7 linked regions of the Kluyveromyces lactis genome follow. The main gene of each other region encodes a partner of the protein of the gene in region 3 in a complex. Links are inferred from orthologs where the notes say so. Each region holds a gene or a part of one and is shown on either strand. Other genes may lie near its edges. The genes, in order: MRPL19, MRPL33, MRPL9, MRPL23, MRPL51, MRPL16 and MRPL7.

Region 1 (2,119 bases), on a different chromosome or scaffold from region 3:
GTGTACACTAGACTTACACCAAAATCGGTCCCACTTTCCTCTCAATCTTCCAATAAATCTACTGATCTAGGTATTCCGCAATTGCAAAGACCTCCATCTTCACACTCATCATCGCAGAACAACTCTAAACGTAAGAATAAGAAAAAAAACAAGAAGAGAAGGATTTCCCCATAAGTTTGAATAACCCTTTCCTTAAACTACCGGCTTACAATACACTTGCATCCTTGTTCATTCTTTCTTTGTAAACAGTCATACATGCATCTACCTCACACTGACTTCAGTTCATCTTTTTTCACTTCGGTTTCAGTTCATTTGGATCATCATATACATCTTCATCTATAGTAGTTGATATATTATTATAATTTTATCTTTTCATTATTCTATTTTATGTACACGAAATGAGGTCTACAAATGCTAATAAACCAGTTGGAATGAAACTCTCCATCGAGACCTTCACTATTTCACAAATCGATGCTTTGATTAGTGAAAAAAAAGTCAGTTTATGGAACTACCTTAATACCCATACTCTTAGCAACACCGATAATAGACTTTACGATTCCTTCAAGTTCCAGAGCAGCGTGTCTTCCATCGGTCTTCTTGATCTTGGCGATCTCATATATATGTTTTAACGACAGTTCACCACATACATTATCAGGGTTACTGATATTTGGTTGTCCGTGTCCCTTCTCAAGACTTAATGCCTTCAATAAAAGATATCCAGTAGGAGGGCTTTTCATTTCAAACGAAAATGTTCTATCTGGTTTGATATTGATGAGTACTGGAATCGGAGTACCCGGTTGGAAGTTTGCTGTTCTGGCATTGAACTCTTTACAGAAATCAATAGCTTTAATACCTTTAGACCCTAAAGCTGGACCAACTGGAGGAGAAGGCGCAGCTTGACCTGCTCCGACAATAAGTTTGACTATCACGTTCTTAAGAACCTTCGACATGGTCCTGTTTGGCGCTTCCTGGACTTACTGTTTCGATATTTTGTTCGAGGCAATTGATCGGATTGAATGCACATCTTACTTTAAGCCATCGATTTTTACCAGCTTATAATCTGGCATATCTCCAAGAATTTTTTAGGCCAAAGAAAATTTTGAAGTTATTACCCGCACATTGTTTTCCATTATACACTTTCTAATAAGCACAATTCATTGTCTGCTAAATAGAACCATATGCTGCGATGTGTACCGACTTCATGCCAAAGGTTGCTAACGTTATAAAGCATTAATTTTATGAGAATGCCAAGAATTGTTCTTAAATATTTTATACATTTGTGTACTTTTACAGGAGAGATAATTTATAACGATTGCACAACAATTAGAAGTCTATGTCGTCTCAGAAGAGTTACTCTTATTTGATAAAACATGCTGTAGAACATACCTCAGCCGGATTGCTAGTTTTACTCTCTCTCTTAATTTATTTTGCCTTTTTTTTCTTTTCAAGACCAGCAATGTGGGCTTCGCTTTGATCAACTTGGGTATGTTTGTGGTCCATTCCAGGGTGCACGACGTAGTTACCTTGGTTGTCTACTTCAACGGTGCACATGTCAATGGATTGAATCCAAGGGTCATTTAATACTTCTTCAATATTGGCTCTACAAGCAGGAGCCAAGTCTACCATCCTACCGATAATGTGGTGGGTCTCTTCCGGTAAGGAATGAAGTAGTCTTTGAGGACCAATATTCGTGTTGTTTGGATCAGATGGGTTGTTCGATTTAGATGTGCTCTCAGCTGGCTCATCAGATTGGACGGCATTGTCATAACTTGGCGGTTTAGGTGTTTTTGTGACTAAAGCACTCAAGGAATCGCAGTCTCTTCCCGAACAGAAGAATTTGAAGGAATTATCCTTTAACTTAGGTATCTTCCATGGGAATTTCTTTAATACCATACATGCAAACAAAATGGCAACGGACCATATATCAACAGGTCTTGGGTCATACTTGGTAAATATACAAACTTCGGGAGCCAAATATGGATCACTTCCAACAATGCCACTTGACTCGATTAAAGTTTTTGAGTGGGGGTAGGAGAAGACTTCTGCAGCACCGAAGTCAATCAACTTCACTATACCCTGGTTGTTTATTACACAGTTGTCCAACTTCATATCACGATGC
Region 2 (2,028 bases), on a different chromosome or scaffold from region 3:
TGTTTTGAGCAAATATATCTCCCAGAATATGAGTGTTCAAAGGTTACCACAAAGACCTAAAACAAAACATTTGTACAATAGAGTTGATCAATTGCTGGCTCAAGAAAATCAATTCTTTTCGGCAAATGACAGTATAGAACTAAGTTTTGATGGAAAAGCTATGAATAAAAATGATATCTTCAGAATTGTAGATTCGTTCTCGGTGGCATTTGACGATGATGAATATGGTGAAGATGGTGACGACGAATACGTGAAACAGCCTAGGAATATTCTCACCAGAGAAGTCACCGGTGTCTTCTAAATAAAGACGTTTGGTATATGATACTCTCAAATACCTCATTAGAATAAGATTAATATTTCTTTGATCTCTATATACATGAAAATCCTAATATCCTTTTCTTTATGTAAAACAGAAGATGTTCATTGTGAGCCCAGTTTCTTCTCTGTTAAATGTTTCTGGTACATTGCTTTGTTTGTTATATTGTCTGGTATGATCCTTTCTATACTCTCTTTTCGACAGTAAATCCAGGATTTGATTTTCTTAGCTCACGCTGTTCTGCCTTACTTAAAGCTTTATCGGCAAGCTCAACGCTCACAAGCTCCTTTATCTGAGCGACAGCACCTGCAATAGATGGTGTAGCTGGTTGATATGCGACAGATCCTCTTTTTCCGAGTCCTAAACTCTTGACCACTGCCCTAGTCTTCTGTGGAGTACCAATGACTGACCTCTGTAATGTAATTCTGTAGAAAACCATGGCTATCTTTGAAAATTATTATGATAGCTATGCTTTTAGAAACCGTTCGCTAATACCAGTAATGAAGTATAATTTCCTCGGTCGTAAGTTTCGTTGACAATATAGAGAACTATGTCAAAAAAAAACGCTCTTTTAAGAGATCTTGTGCATCATTATCGAAGAGATTAACTGGGTATTCAAACCATTAATAGCCAACGTACATTGATTTTTCAAATAGCATCAAAACGTATAAAGTGATATCATGTGATGTATATTGTCTAGCAGCTCATCGCGTATGTCATTTGGGCACTTCTCACAAACCGTCGCAGGAAAGTGCTACCTACTGAGAAAGAACCAGGAATTGCATATAAAGATCTCAAGATTATATCTCGCTGTTTGAATATTTCTTCCTGAATATGAAGTTGCATTGAAATTGTCTTAGGAGGGGCATTTGCTTGGTTATGTATATATATATATATATATATGTCATTTCTTTTTTTCCAATATTTATGCCCGATTGAATAATATATATATATATCATATTAACAAGCTCTTAACGCCATGGTTGGTTAGATCTCTCTAAGGTTTATATCGCCACTATACACTGCAAAGTAGAAGTAATAATTTGAGCCAATATGGCTGGTAGTACGCAAGACACCGGCGTCAAAGACGTTCCAAAAGAGCTTGTGGAACAAGCAAAAAAGCTATCGATTACTGATGGGATGGACCAGTTGAAGGTAGAAGGTAAGAATAAAGTAAAGGACAAGAAAAGTAAGAAAAAAGGCAAGGCCTTGAATGAGATCACTCCAGAGTATATCGCTGAGATGCGAGCTAAGAGAGAAGCTGCGAAAATAGCAAAAAAAGAGGCTCTTATTGCTCAAGGTATAGATCCAAAATTGCCCGCAGACCTTAGATTTATCAAAAGGCCGATGTTAGCTGTTCCTCGAGATTCATCAGGCCAATCGACGAGAGAGGTATGTCCAATCAGTATAATGACGTATAATTGTCTTGCCCAAGCTTTGATTAGAAGAACACTGTTTCCTACGAGCGGAAATGCTGTTAAATGGTTTAAAAGATCTCAAGTTTTACTCAATGAATTCAAATATTACAATGTTGACGTACTGTGTTTGCAAGAAATTGACACGGTTCAATACAAGTCTTTCTGGAAAATGGAGTTCACAAAACTAGGTTACATGTGTCAATTCCATTTTAATCCTACCAAAAACCACGGAGTATTAATTGCTTGGAAAGAAGATCTATTTGATATGACAGATAAGATGTTAATTGACTACGA
Region 3 (2,599 bases):
GAGATCCAACCGATTATTTGTTCGCAGAGGACAAAGAACAAGCTCTCGCGGAACAACATAAACTTGAAAGAGAAAGAGCTTCCAAGATCGGTGGGTTATTGAAACCATCGGAATTGGATGATGATGAGTAAAGATAACACCTTACAGAAATGTACAGCATGGTCAAGAAACGAAAAAGTTTCTGCGGATCCAATGAAAGCTGAAACTAACACTTGTCAAGCAAGGCAAATATATACATAGCAGGCCGTATATCTTCCCACATAGAGAAAAAAATTGTAATCAATTCTCTCCGACATATACCCAGGATCCAGTATCAACGTATGAAAGCCATTAAATATCTGGTTGAAAAGGACACTCAACGTTGCAGCAGTTACTATTTTATAATTGGTGTATATACAGGTATAGATTGTTAATAATAACCGTAGAAAGGCATGCTTTCCAAATGATTTCGGGACGGTGTCTAAACGACTGAAAAGATTCAATTTCTTAATCACAGTTTTTTATACTGGGGTTGGCTTTTTGATAGCATCTTGGATCTTAACGAATGCACCATTTGGACCTGCGACAGAGCCCTTCACCAAGACAGTACCTGTTTCGTCGTTGACGTCCAGCACTTGCACGTTTTGAATTGTTACAGTGTCGACACCCATATGACCAGGCATCTTTTTCCCAGGCAACACACGACCAGGTGTTTGATTTTGACCGTAAGAACCACCAGATCTGTGAGATACGGAAACACCGTGGGATGCCTTCAAACCTTTGAATCCATAACGTTTCATTACACCTTGGAAACCCTTACCTTTGCTGATTGATCTTAAATCAACGTATTGGCCAGGCTTGAACCACGAAGGTTTGATTAAAGAACCCACTGGTAGTAGTCCAGATTCGTCCTTGACTCTAAACTCGGTAACTTTTTCCTTTGGATTCACAACATGTGCAGCGAAATGTCCCAACATTTGTCTGGTAACATTCTCCGGCGACTTGTTACCATAACCAATTTGGCAAGCCCAGTAATTGTTTTCAGCTGGAGTTCTGTGTAGTATAACTTCGTTATTGTCCAACTGAAGTACAGTAGCTGCTATACGTTTACCAGTCTCTTTCTCGAAATACGGCATCATCCCTACTTTTTTACTCAAAGCACCACAACGTAGAGGTAATCTTCTTCTCTTTAGCGCATTTTCTGGAGAATGTTTAATATCTACAGGATCTAGATGAATGCTGCTTGCCACGGATGGTGCGACTAACTTGGCACCGTTCGATACTCCACTTTGTGAGAAAAGTCTTGTCCAAATCTTCGACGAAGGACTGCCAATAAATGCCATTATTCCCCAATTTTCAAAGACTGGTCGATTGATAACAAATGTGTCAATCCAGATAACCTCTTGGCAATGCTGGAGAAACTGTAAAGGATTTAAAATGTAGTTTAAAGACTCTATTGAAACCTGTTTCCATCTCTGTATAATTGTTAAAGCTGTTTCGATATTGAAAATTTTTTGAATCGATAAAGTTACCTATAGATCACGTGATTAAAACGGCACGTAGTTCTCTCACTGATTTAACACAAATTAAGTGTGCCCTTGACGGTTATTGGAAGTGTATGTTTATGCTTCTGTATTTACATGTTATTTAATATTATAATAATTATAATCATCATTCTATCGTCATCATTTGATCTTCTTATCCTTGATCTTGATAGTTTCATTGTTAACGTAGATACCTTTACCCTTATATGGTTCTGGAGGATGGAATTTTCTCAAGTTGGCAGCGAAGAGTAGCACTTGTTGCTTGTTGACACCTTCCACGATCAACGACGTGGGTACCGGAGACTTAACTATGATTCCCTCTGGGATAGGTAGGCCTTGTCTTACCGACGCACCGACTTTGACGTTGACAAAGGTGTTATTTTCCTCCAATTGAGCTCTGTAACCGGTACCAACGAACTTCAGAACAGCCATATGGCTCTCATTCACGCCTGTGATATGATTATTTATATGAGATCTTACCGTCCCCCACATGGATCTTTGCGTCTTGTCGGTAGAATCCTTCACTGCAACTTCGATTTTTCCCGAAGATCCATCCTGCTTTATCTCCACGAAATCTGGGATTTCCATATCAATCTTCCCCAAAGGACCCGATACAGTTACGTTCTGAGATAACTTAAGAGATTTGTTACCCTTTCTGATGATCTTTGGCAGTTTCATTGATTCCACCACCAACTTGGTCTCCGGTGTCAAATACACCGGAGAAGAACCAATATGTGAGCGCAGAAGAGCCGACACAGAAAAGAGTCTTCTGGAAACAAATGTCATGGTAATTGTGTATATCCTGGAAATAGTCTAGCCCACTTTGCAGCCGCTATATGACTGGGTATATTAGATCAAATGCGTCTATATCAATCTGTTCTTCCAGCACTCATCTCTATGCGTCTTTCAACCAATTTTTCACTTGGAATCAAAATTTTAATAGTGAGATAGTATGGGAGGGTAACTTTAATTGCTTTGACGATTGTTAAATAAGATATACTTAGGCTGTTACTCTCGATTGGTGACCATCTAGGCCACTCCTGGGTCGAAATGGGATGTGGAGACTGCTCTTCGTC
Region 4 (2,121 bases), on a different chromosome or scaffold from region 3:
TCGATAAAGTCATTCATAGGACCAATTACACCACTTTGGTCATGTTTTATGCTCCGTGGTGTGGTTACTGTCAGGAATTGAAAGGTTCCATGAAATCTGCCGGTAAAATCCTCTCTGGAATGGTACAAGTTGCTGGAGTGAACTGTGATGAAAGTGTGAATAAACAATTATGTGCACAGAACAGAGTATCGGGGTTCCCAACGTTAATGGTATTCAGGCCTCCAAAGATCAATTTGGATAACCCAAAGAAAAATTCCAATGGTGCTGCGTCACAGCATGCCACAGAAGTGTACAAGGGAGAAAGGAAATTGAAGCCCATTGTCGATTTCGCTTTATCTAGAGTGAAAAACTACGTGAAGCGGTTGAACCGTTACAGTAAGTTCGAAGAACTATTAAAATCTTCAAGAACCAGGTACGCTGTAGTGCTTATCTCAAAGAAGGAGAAGATTCCAACTTTATATAAATCTGTAGCCCTCGATTGGCTTGGGATCTACGATTTCTATTCGATCTGGGACGAGAAATTGCAAGGCGTGTCACAATTGAGTTTTGAGAACGATACAAAGAATTGGCCAAATACTGTTAAATACCTCCAATCGTTAGAAAAAAGTGAAACTGAATTACAATCGCCCAGAATCGTAGTGATAGATAGAGAAACAGATACTTATGACGAACTAGACATATTAAAAACTACAGATAAAAATGACATTGCAACGTTCCTTTCGAAATTCGAGTCAAAACCAAGGGAAGGTCCACTCAGTAAGAGACAAGAATACCTCAAATCTATTTTGAATAAATCAAAGTCAAAGAAGTCCAAGACTAAAAAGAACAAACAGAAGACTAAACTTACGAAGGACGACATAGTTCAGGATGAGTTGTAGGTATTTGTTAGTAGCTTGTATATAGATTGTGTTTAACATCCGGGTAACAGTAATATGAGCGATTGAAAAAAATTTGGCTCCAAGCTGAAATTAAACATCAATTAATCAAATCGATTGTCAAGCTAAACATATGATGAGTTAAAAGACAACTGACTGTCCCGAACTATCCCTTTACCTAAGTGATTACAGTTGAATAGCATCACTTAAAATTTAACTTTTTAGGTGCCACGTTTTAACCTGTCAGAAAGGAGGCAAAATAACAATATATTAGAAGTATGTCTCAAAAGGTAGGACATACTGGTTTGGCATTTGCCAGGATGTGGCATCATGTTGATATATCCAAGGACAAGAGAACGCTTGGTAGGGTGGCATCTCAGGTTGCTCTAGCGTTAATGGGGAAGCACAAGCCAGTGTATCATCCATCTGCTGATTGCGGTGATTATGTTGTGGTAACGAACTGCCAAGCTTTGCGTGTGACGGGGAACAAGATGACCCAAAAGACGTACTGGTCGCATACTTCTAGACCAGGTTCATTAAAGTTGACTACAATGGAAGACATGATCAGTAACAAGGGTTACAGTGAAGTTTTGAAGAAGGCTGTGTCCGGAATGCTTCCCAAGAATAAACTTCGTAAGATCAGACTTGCTAGATTAAAAATTTTCGATGGAAGTGAACATCCATACAAGAGTAATATCACCGCATTTGCTGATCAGCAACTAGAGCTGCAACACCAGAAGAAATAGTGTGGATGAATTTTTATGTGACTTCTTAATTTTTGAGAAGTTAACGGCAGCATGTGATGTAAAATCCCTGTATATATTATTATTCGATCTAAATGGTTCTCCTTAGTACGCATACAATGTCTGTCGTTTTTCACTGTACTAAACTCTTCCACTTTACTATGTACATATAGATTGTTATTTAGATATGTTAATTATCACATACAAATCACATACAAATCACATACAGAGATAGAAAAGATATTACATCGCAGTATGCCAAAGCATAATACTTTTGCCTGGAAGAAAGAACATTTAACAGAACAAAAACGAGAAGAATTAGGGAAGGATGTATTTCATATTTGATATTATTTCCCTTGCTCCAAAAGACGATCTACTTTTGCTTCCAAAGCAGCAAGAATTTCATCTTTGCGGGTATTTTCCTCGGTTAATTTATCAATATAGCTTTCCAACTTTAGAACTAATCCAGATAATGTTTCTACAGATTGTCTCAAATTGAGAGA
Region 5 (2,098 bases), on a different chromosome or scaffold from region 3:
TTAATTAATCTGAAGGAAAACTATGTATATTAAGAATTCTTCAATGACATGAAATAAAGGTGCAAGTAAAAGGTATGAAAATGGTAGTAAAAAAGTGCCATTTGCTGCCCTTCTTATATAATACAAATGTTACTTTGGACACGCTAATAAACTCTTAACACCTTATAAGTATTTACCGTTGATGAATTACCAAGTTCCAGTTAATTAGTATGGTATTCTTCTGCTTTTTTCCCTAAATTTTTTTGTCGCATTTTATACTGCATCGTTGAAACGCTTCAGTGAACGCCGTAATAAATTAAAGAAACGGATACAAACCTTGACTGTTCGCTACTTACAAGTGAATGTTTTTTAGGGGTGGTCATCGTTATACGCATCCTTAAAAAAACGCATAGAACTTTAATTTTTCAATAGTTATAGGGACATTATACGCACCATAATGATAAACTGGTGACTATTATGGCAATACATTTGCCTGTTCTTGAACAAAGTGTCATACACTTACATCACACTTAATAGGGAGTGCCCAGTTAATTGGTTTAAATGACGCATGTGCATAATTTTTTTAACAAATTACTAGTGTGCATCCAACATACGCTAGGTGTCAATCCGTACATTCCATGGGTGAACGCAAATCAGGCCCTTTATTTAATTAACCTCATATGAAGCCTTTGGGACATCTTGGATCAGAATCTGGGGCCTCTATCGTACTTTCTATGGATTTGCTCAGTAAAAGTACCCTTAACCAAACGCTGGTAGTGCATTATTGTCATAACCCATCGACAGATCATCAAGTTTACATGACGTATGACATCTCATGAGGATGTGTTGACATAGCAATGTGAAAGAAACAGAATATAGTCGGAAAGAGGTTCTGTATTATTTACATTCGTCACCTTATAGCAGTGTTGGTACCAGTATCTTTTTCATTTGTGTGAGCATGTGGTGAATTGTCCTCCTACCTTCGAATACATACAGATTTGTTCACGTGACTGATGGTCTTTTGAAATTGGAAAAAAATAATCATGAACTGAAAACTCGAATAAAACTCAAAAGATATATTAGTGAATCTATGTTCTGCATCTGAAGGATCTCTCCACAGTTTCAAAATACACCCAACTTGTTTTCTAATCAGAGCTGGTACCCGCGGTCATAAAGATTTCTCTGAAGTAATGGTTGTTAAAGTTTTGAGACAAACTTCTATCGCAAGAAATGGTGTTGGCGCTTTTGTGCTTCCATGTAAAAAGATCACTTTGCAATACTGTAATTGGGGTGGTTCCTCACAGGGTTTGAGAGATTTCCTAACGTCTAACAGAATGATTCAATGGGCTGAAAAATATCCAACAATACAGTTCGAAATAGTAAGAAAGTCTGGCCATCCAGTTATAAAAGGTGACTATGTTAATGGCCGTAATAAAGCCATCTGCGTAAAAAATCTGAACATTGATAATGTAGAGAATAAGTTAAAACTAATCAGAGACGCATCTGGTGAGCAACTCCGTCACAGAACTAAGAACGACAATGTGGATACTTTGAACGATAGTGTGAGAGGTATCTGGTCTCCACTACATTTAAGCCCAGCCATCAGACACAAGGTTTGAATCGAAAAAATGACTTGTGAATGGTAATATCGAGATCATAGCTTAACTTGTACATATATATAGCAATATCCTCGATGAAGCCGATACCTAAGTAAACAACCTACGATGTTGAATATTACTACGCAATTAATAAAAAAGAAGATCTATACTAATTTTTCATTTACTATATTATATGATATTATCGTATATTATATATGCAAAGGGCTCCATTCAAGCTGATGCTTTGTATTCTCTAAGAACCACGGGAACAGAAGATGGTGGCAACGAACCAAATTCTGTAATGATCTTCTTGATGTAGTCAGGGGGTGTTAAATCGTACATTATATTGAAGATGTGCAAATTAGGTGATTTCTCCCACTCTGCTAGTATTGGTTTATCCTTGACATTCTTACCTTCGTCGGCAGTAGCATTATTGGTATTAGCACTGCCAGATTTATTATTTTGCTTAGAGCTATTCTCGACTTCCTTCTGCTGCGCTTCACGCTCTTTGATAAATTGCT
Region 6 (2,627 bases), on a different chromosome or scaffold from region 3:
CGGTTTGAATTTGTTGATTGTGCCCTCTTTGAATTGGGAATGGAACCTTTCGTCAAGGGTCCAGAATAATCTGATATCAGGGATCTCGAATAATAGCATTGCAATGCGGTCAAGGCCTAATCCAAAAGCCCAACCGATGTTTTGATTTTGTTCATATCCAGCTTTTAATAAAACGTCTTCACGGATAAGACCGCAACCGCAGAGCTCAAGCCAATTGTTTTGCCAGAACACTTCAATTTCCCATGATGGTGCAGTCCATGGGAAATAAGCTTGAATCCATCTAACCTTCAACTCTTCTCCCTTCACGTTACCCATACTTGCCAACTTTCTCTTGAAGACTTCCAATACAACAAGCTCCAAAGATCTTTTCAAATGGCGAGAACATAAATCGACTTCTTCCATCGTCATGTATTCCTGCTTTGGATTACCTTCCAAGGAAACGTTATCTTCCACGACAAGTTTCACTGGGTCGTCTGCCAAAGTTTTCTCCAATCTCTCGAGATCTTCTTTAATCTTTAATAAATGTTGGTTATCCGGTTCCCTTTTCCAAACTCTACCACCTTCCATTTGATGGAACACCGGATAATGAGTCCTGTCAATCTCATCTCTTCTATAGACATCGGCAGAGATTAAAAATCCAGGCTTATCAGTCTTACCCACATGGCCAGGAACAAACCCATTGATATTCTTGAAACATTCCAACTCATGGGCAGATGTATGCGTTCTTAACAGATGACAATCGTTCAAGTAATAGGTATCAGATTTCGATCTACCGGGGTGATCTTCTGGGAATCCCAAAGAATCAAAATTCTCATGTACCGTAACCGCAGGTTTGAAATCGTTATAGATCTCGAATGAGTGATGAGGGTCGTTCAGCTTGTCCTCGATAACACTTCTTAAGATCCCAACAGGGTGTGATGGTTTCAAATAAACAGCGCGATCAGTCAAATTCAAAATCGAACTAGTTACATTCGTCTTATCTGATACTGGGTACGTCTTTCCATTCACAGAAAGTGTCTGTAATGCCACATTGGAGGTGCTAAACAACCTTAAACATGGTCTCAAAGTTGACAATATCGTCCTATTCGACATCGTTTCGGTATTAAAGAACCCTTAATAACAGTAAAACTGGGGCAATTCAATCAACAAAACAAAGGTAATCCCTTAGCAATGATATTACTAGTGATATTTCACTGCCTGAAATCACCAGAACAGGTATATCAAGTGTTGTTTAACGAGACTTTTGTATCTTCTTTTGAATGTATGTAGAAGGTCACATGATTTCAAGATATCTTCAACTTCACCAAAAATTTTTCAATAATGAAAAGCTTTAAGAGTAAGTAAAAGAAGATCCAGAGCATAGAAATTGATTTGAAAAGCAGCATAAAACAGTCCCTCGCGCCTCATTGCAAGGATCTTATTTCAGATCAGTGAGCCTCCTTTATCGTAAATTAGATCACCATGTTTTCCAGCGTTTTCAAGACTGGATTTCGCTCACTAAATCCATTAGAAAGTCTGCAAGTAACCGCTAGGCGTTTTACACATGAATATGCTCCACGTTTCAAGAACCAGACTAAGAAGCAAAAGGGTCGTGTGCCAGTGCGTACCGGTGGCTCTACTAAGGGTAATTCGCTTCAATTTGGTCAATTTGGTTTAAGATTGAAGTCTGAAGGTGTGAGACTTACTGCGTTACAGTTGAAGGAAGCCGATAATGCTATTATGAGATACGTTAGACCTTTGAATAACGGTCAATTATGGCGTCGTTTGTGTACAAACATTGCTGTTTGTATCAAGGGTAATGAGACCAGAATGGGTAAAGGTAAGGGTGGATTTGACCATTGGATGGTCAGAGTACCCACCGGTAAAGTGATCTTTGAGATGGCAGGTGACAATCTACACGAGAAAGTAGCACGTGAGGCGTTTAGAAAGGCAGCAACCAAGCTTCCTGGCCTATACGAATTCATATCGAAAGATTCTCTGGTAAGAGTAGGTATCAAGAGTGTAAAAGATCCAAAGGACGATCCAAAGATCAATTACTTTGAAGAACTAAAGAAGAAACCTACAAAGGAATATATTACAAAGTTGAAGTCCCAGCAACCGGAATATAGAATGTTCAGGGCTCGTTGAAATAGATCGATGTGTGTATATAAACGACTCTTTTACGTATAACTTTTGTGAGAGCTAATCCCACTATCTGTAAATAGGCTATCAAAGATTCAAGATTTAAAGTCCCAAATGAGTAAAGTTTGGTTGTTTGTCAAACTACAAAAGTTAATACTTACGTATATTTATCTATTTCACACATTGTCCTTGCAATGAACCCTTCTAAATGGTAGATTGCTTTGTTTCCAAGGTTGAGACGGTGATCAAAAGTGCATGCAGTATCGATAATTGCCAACTTCAACGGATCTGACTGGGCATCTGAAAGCAATTGCGTCGTTAATTCATGGACTATGGTTTTGGCAGGAATACAATGGGCTAATAGATCATAATTTATGGAACGGCATTCTACAAGGTTATTAACAGTTCTTTCTTTTAATATTTTCCTAGCCATTTTATGGATCACCAATTGCCAATCAGGTCTGTTCAAAGGTGTATCGTTTCTTAAATGCAATTCATTTTGTAGT
Region 7 (2,647 bases), on a different chromosome or scaffold from region 3:
GTTATTTAGAGAAGTTGGTGGAAGTTACACATATGAAGGTTCTAACCCCTGAAGAGGCACTCGGCGACAATGATTCCAGATTCCTAAGTTGTAACTTATATTCTAGATCTACATTTGGCGAGGACGCTTTGGCTAACCTGTGCATAGAGAAGGATCCAATCACACAAGAAATTGTTGGTGAAATCCGTATTCGTTCAAAGACCCAAGGGTTAGCTTTAACCAATGGTGACAATATTACCAGAATGGGAAGAACTATGAATATCGTTAGTGTTGATCGTGTTTGAGGTTAATAATTTGAAGACTTTGATCTCACCAATTACCTGTAATGCAATATATATGCCACTTTTTACTTATTGAAATCTATTACATATAAGTGTACATTAAGAGACGTCGACATTTGTATAAAGGTAGTCATATACATATAATGCTGATAATTTTTTTATCCTATTAGTGAGTGTTATTTACAGGACGAAAGACAGGATAAAAACTACTTGGGAGCATTAATTGATCTTTTCCGAACCGTTGAAAGGAAAACCGAATCCACTGACCAAAGTTCTAGCCTGTACGTCAGTTTGGGCAGTTGTGTTGATGTTGATGTGCATACCAAAAGTTACTGGCCAAAGATCTTGATTAGCATCAATCTCTGGGAAAAATCTGACTTCATCGCTGGTCATACCAAATGATAACCCACCAAATCTGTTACCTGACTTGTTGGAGATACCTTTGTATTCTCTGATTCTTGGTAGTACAATTTCAGTCAAAGTGGATAAGAACTGAGACATTGGACGACCTTTCAATGTAATGACAGCACCCATTTGGGTACCTCTTCTGACCTTCCAGGCCGGAACATCATTCCTAGAGAACAAAGCCTTTGGTTTACACCCGGTAATTTGTTGCAATTGTAATGCTGCTGAAATTGGTAGATATTGGTTCTCTTTTGCATCTCTGACGTAACAGTTAATAACAACGGACTCGATGTCTGGAATGTTCTTCCACGTTACTGGATGAATATCTGGCAATTGAGCACTTGAGCCCTTAGGTTTTCTGGGTTCTCTGTTAATGTGATATGGAGAAGAACCGTCCCATTCTCTTTGCTTCAACCCGAGCTTCGTTTGGCTTTTGTGGGAATAATTTATCAATAATAAATCGCTTTGTAAAGTATTATAATAATGCTCACGAACACGGTCTTGATGTGTAACAACAGGCTTGAATGCTGGAGATCTAATATCGTTTTTACTATATTTCAATTCAGGAAACCTTGGGGATAGCTTGCTCTTGTCGATCTTAACCAAATGATGCACTGGCTTAACCAAAGCACAAGCAGCTTTGGAGACCTTTGAACTACTGTGGAAACCACGTACCACTTGCATTATCACTTGGTATCTTCTCACAGATGCGAACGAATGAATGTATAAACCTACGAATGGGAAGGAATACTGCTTTAAATCGAGTGAAACTGATCAAATCTCTATCATTATCTTACAGCTTTAGCTCGAAAGGTCGAAAAATTTTTAAAACTTTCAAGTACAGAGAATTCAATATACGTCACGTGACAAGAATCAACAAAAAGTGAAATTTGATTAAAAACCAGGTAGAGCTCAGTTGATGATTATAGAGAGTGTTGACCTTTCAGCCCTTGTGTTGATGCATTGCAGCCGTTTTTTTTTGATCCCGTACTTAAAGACACGTAGCTGGATTCTCCATTTAGGTAATAACAGTCGAACTTAACCCCGAATCGTTTACTTGAATTGAGCTTTTTACCGATTTGATAAAGTAAAGAAAGCGATTGACACATATCAGGACAATTGAGATGAGGTTCTCATTTGACGAATTGTACGAGAATGCTGAACGGAAACAGAGTCAGAATACCAGCAGCAGTGATTCTGACTATGAATTAGACGGGGAGTTTACGTATATTGGCGATCCATCTGATGGGATCCAGTTAAAACTACCGAAATTATACCATTCTTCAAAGAATGACGGCCAAGGTGAAGAGCAAGGGTTTAGTTCAGGAGATACAATTTCTTTAGAGGATGTGGTAGAACCAGAAATAGTTTCAATGCTTTCCAACTTAAATATCACTCTTGAAAGGAATGCACTACCGCATCTTACAACGAGAGGTCACGAGAATAAAGCTTTAGGCCCTGTTCTTATTGACGAAGCAGAACTTTATTACCAAGAGAAGAAGGATTTGATTGACGAGGTGGAACAACACACCTTTCCTATGCAAGACCAGGTGCTTGAATCTGTGTGGAATGAGGAAATTGATTCAATTGAAAAGGTGAATCAACGTTTAATTAAAAGCATAAAGGATAAAAAGAAGAGGGAAGAGGAAGCACGTATCCAGAAAGAATGCGAAGCGGAGAAGCGCAGACAAGAAGAATTGAAGCATAAAAAGGAGATGGAAAAGAAGTTGAAGGAGGAAGAGAAACGGAAGATTCAAGAAATGGCAGAAAAGGAGAAGAAAGCTGAAGAAGCGAAGAGAGTAGAAGCCCTGAAAAAGAAGCAAGAACAAGAACAACTGGAGAGGAATAAACTTAAACAGTCCAAAGAATCTACAAATTTCAAGTTAATCGAAGAAACTTTTACTAAATACAAAACCATGATTCAGACAATTAAAACAGAAATAATTGAACCGGTGAAGGCG

Evidence for each region.
Region 1: MRPL9 (region 3) and MRPL19 share a complex: the UniProt entries of both Schizosaccharomyces pombe proteins name them as parts of the mitochondrial large ribosomal subunit. The link is inferred for Kluyveromyces lactis from reciprocal best matches to the Schizosaccharomyces pombe genes mrpl9 and mrpl19.
Region 2: MRPL9 (region 3) and MRPL33 share a complex: the UniProt entries of both Schizosaccharomyces pombe proteins name them as parts of the mitochondrial large ribosomal subunit. The link is inferred for Kluyveromyces lactis from reciprocal best matches to the Schizosaccharomyces pombe genes mrpl9 and mrpl33.
Region 4: MRPL9 (region 3) and MRPL23 share a complex: the UniProt entries of both Schizosaccharomyces pombe proteins name them as parts of the mitochondrial large ribosomal subunit. The link is inferred for Kluyveromyces lactis from reciprocal best matches to the Schizosaccharomyces pombe genes mrpl9 and mrpl23.
Region 5: MRPL9 (region 3) and MRPL51 share a complex: the UniProt entries of both Schizosaccharomyces pombe proteins name them as parts of the mitochondrial large ribosomal subunit. The link is inferred for Kluyveromyces lactis from reciprocal best matches to the Schizosaccharomyces pombe genes mrpl9 and mrpl51.
Region 6: MRPL9 (region 3) and MRPL16 share a complex: the UniProt entries of both Schizosaccharomyces pombe proteins name them as parts of the mitochondrial large ribosomal subunit. The link is inferred for Kluyveromyces lactis from reciprocal best matches to the Schizosaccharomyces pombe genes mrpl9 and mrpl16.
Region 7: MRPL9 (region 3) and MRPL7 share a complex: the UniProt entries of both Schizosaccharomyces pombe proteins name them as parts of the mitochondrial large ribosomal subunit. The link is inferred for Kluyveromyces lactis from reciprocal best matches to the Schizosaccharomyces pombe genes mrpl9 and mrpl7.

The regions. Positions count from the first base shown.
Region 1 is NC_006040.1:716,101-718,219, reverse strand, and holds MRPL19 (mitochondrial 54S ribosomal protein uL11m), read right to left. Parts: upstream 951-2,119; coding exon 501-950; downstream 1-500. Other genes in the region: ubiquitin-specific protease UBP10, read left to right, coding at 1-174; serine/threonine protein kinase NPR1, read right to left, coding at 1,423-2,119. UniProt on the Schizosaccharomyces pombe protein: Component of the mitochondrial ribosome (mitoribosome), a dedicated translation machinery responsible for the synthesis of mitochondrial genome-encoded proteins, including at least some of the essential transmembrane subunits of the mitochondrial respiratory chain.
Region 2 is NC_006039.1:553,385-555,412, reverse strand, and holds MRPL33 (mitochondrial 54S ribosomal protein uL30m), read right to left. Parts: upstream 756-2,028; coding exon 501-755; downstream 1-500. Other genes in the region: KLLA0_C06292g (uncharacterized protein), read left to right, coding at 1-301; NGL2 (RNA exonuclease), read left to right, coding at 1,370-2,028. UniProt on the Schizosaccharomyces pombe protein: Component of the mitochondrial ribosome (mitoribosome), a dedicated translation machinery responsible for the synthesis of mitochondrial genome-encoded proteins, including at least some of the essential transmembrane subunits of the mitochondrial respiratory chain.
Region 3 is NC_006041.1:1,426,263-1,428,861, reverse strand, and holds MRPL9 (mitochondrial 54S ribosomal protein uL3m), read right to left. Parts: upstream 1,323-2,599; coding exon 501-1,322; downstream 1-500. Other genes in the region: exportin CRM1, read left to right, coding at 1-131; MRPL6 (mitochondrial 54S ribosomal protein uL6m), read right to left, coding at 1,665-2,309. UniProt on the Schizosaccharomyces pombe protein: Component of the mitochondrial ribosome (mitoribosome), a dedicated translation machinery responsible for the synthesis of mitochondrial genome-encoded proteins, including at least some of the essential transmembrane subunits of the mitochondrial respiratory chain.
Region 4 is NC_006040.1:210,738-212,858, forward strand, and holds MRPL23 (mitochondrial 54S ribosomal protein uL13m), read left to right. Parts: upstream 1-1,153; coding exon 1,154-1,621; downstream 1,622-2,121. Other genes in the region: protein disulfide isomerase MPD1, read left to right, coding at 1-878; CRN1 (coronin), read right to left, coding at 1,966-2,121. UniProt on the Schizosaccharomyces pombe protein: Component of the mitochondrial ribosome (mitoribosome), a dedicated translation machinery responsible for the synthesis of mitochondrial genome-encoded proteins, including at least some of the essential transmembrane subunits of the mitochondrial respiratory chain.
Region 5 is NC_006042.1:776,644-778,741, reverse strand, and holds MRPL51 (mitochondrial 54S ribosomal protein mL43), read left to right. Parts: upstream 1-1,169; coding exon 1,170-1,598; downstream 1,599-2,098. Other genes in the region: GCD2 (translation initiation factor eIF2B subunit delta), read right to left, coding at 1,809-2,098. UniProt on the Schizosaccharomyces pombe protein: Component of the mitochondrial ribosome (mitoribosome), a dedicated translation machinery responsible for the synthesis of mitochondrial genome-encoded proteins, including at least some of the essential transmembrane subunits of the mitochondrial respiratory chain.
Region 6 is NC_006038.1:1,064,530-1,067,156, forward strand, and holds MRPL16 (mitochondrial 54S ribosomal protein uL16m), read left to right. Parts: upstream 1-1,461; coding exon 1,462-2,127; downstream 2,128-2,627. Other genes in the region: MSF1 (phenylalanine--tRNA ligase), read right to left, coding at 1-1,092; RFC5 (replication factor C subunit 5), read right to left, coding at 2,279-2,627. UniProt on the Schizosaccharomyces pombe protein: Component of the mitochondrial ribosome (mitoribosome), a dedicated translation machinery responsible for the synthesis of mitochondrial genome-encoded proteins, including at least some of the essential transmembrane subunits of the mitochondrial respiratory chain.
Region 7 is NC_006039.1:1,326,649-1,329,295, reverse strand, and holds MRPL7 (mitochondrial 54S ribosomal protein uL5m), read right to left. Parts: upstream 1,371-2,647; coding exon 501-1,370; downstream 1-500. Other genes in the region: SEC26 (coatomer subunit beta), read left to right, coding at 1-284; nucleoporin GLE1, read left to right, coding at 1,811-2,647. UniProt on the Schizosaccharomyces pombe protein: Component of the mitochondrial ribosome (mitoribosome), a dedicated translation machinery responsible for the synthesis of mitochondrial genome-encoded proteins, including at least some of the essential transmembrane subunits of the mitochondrial respiratory chain.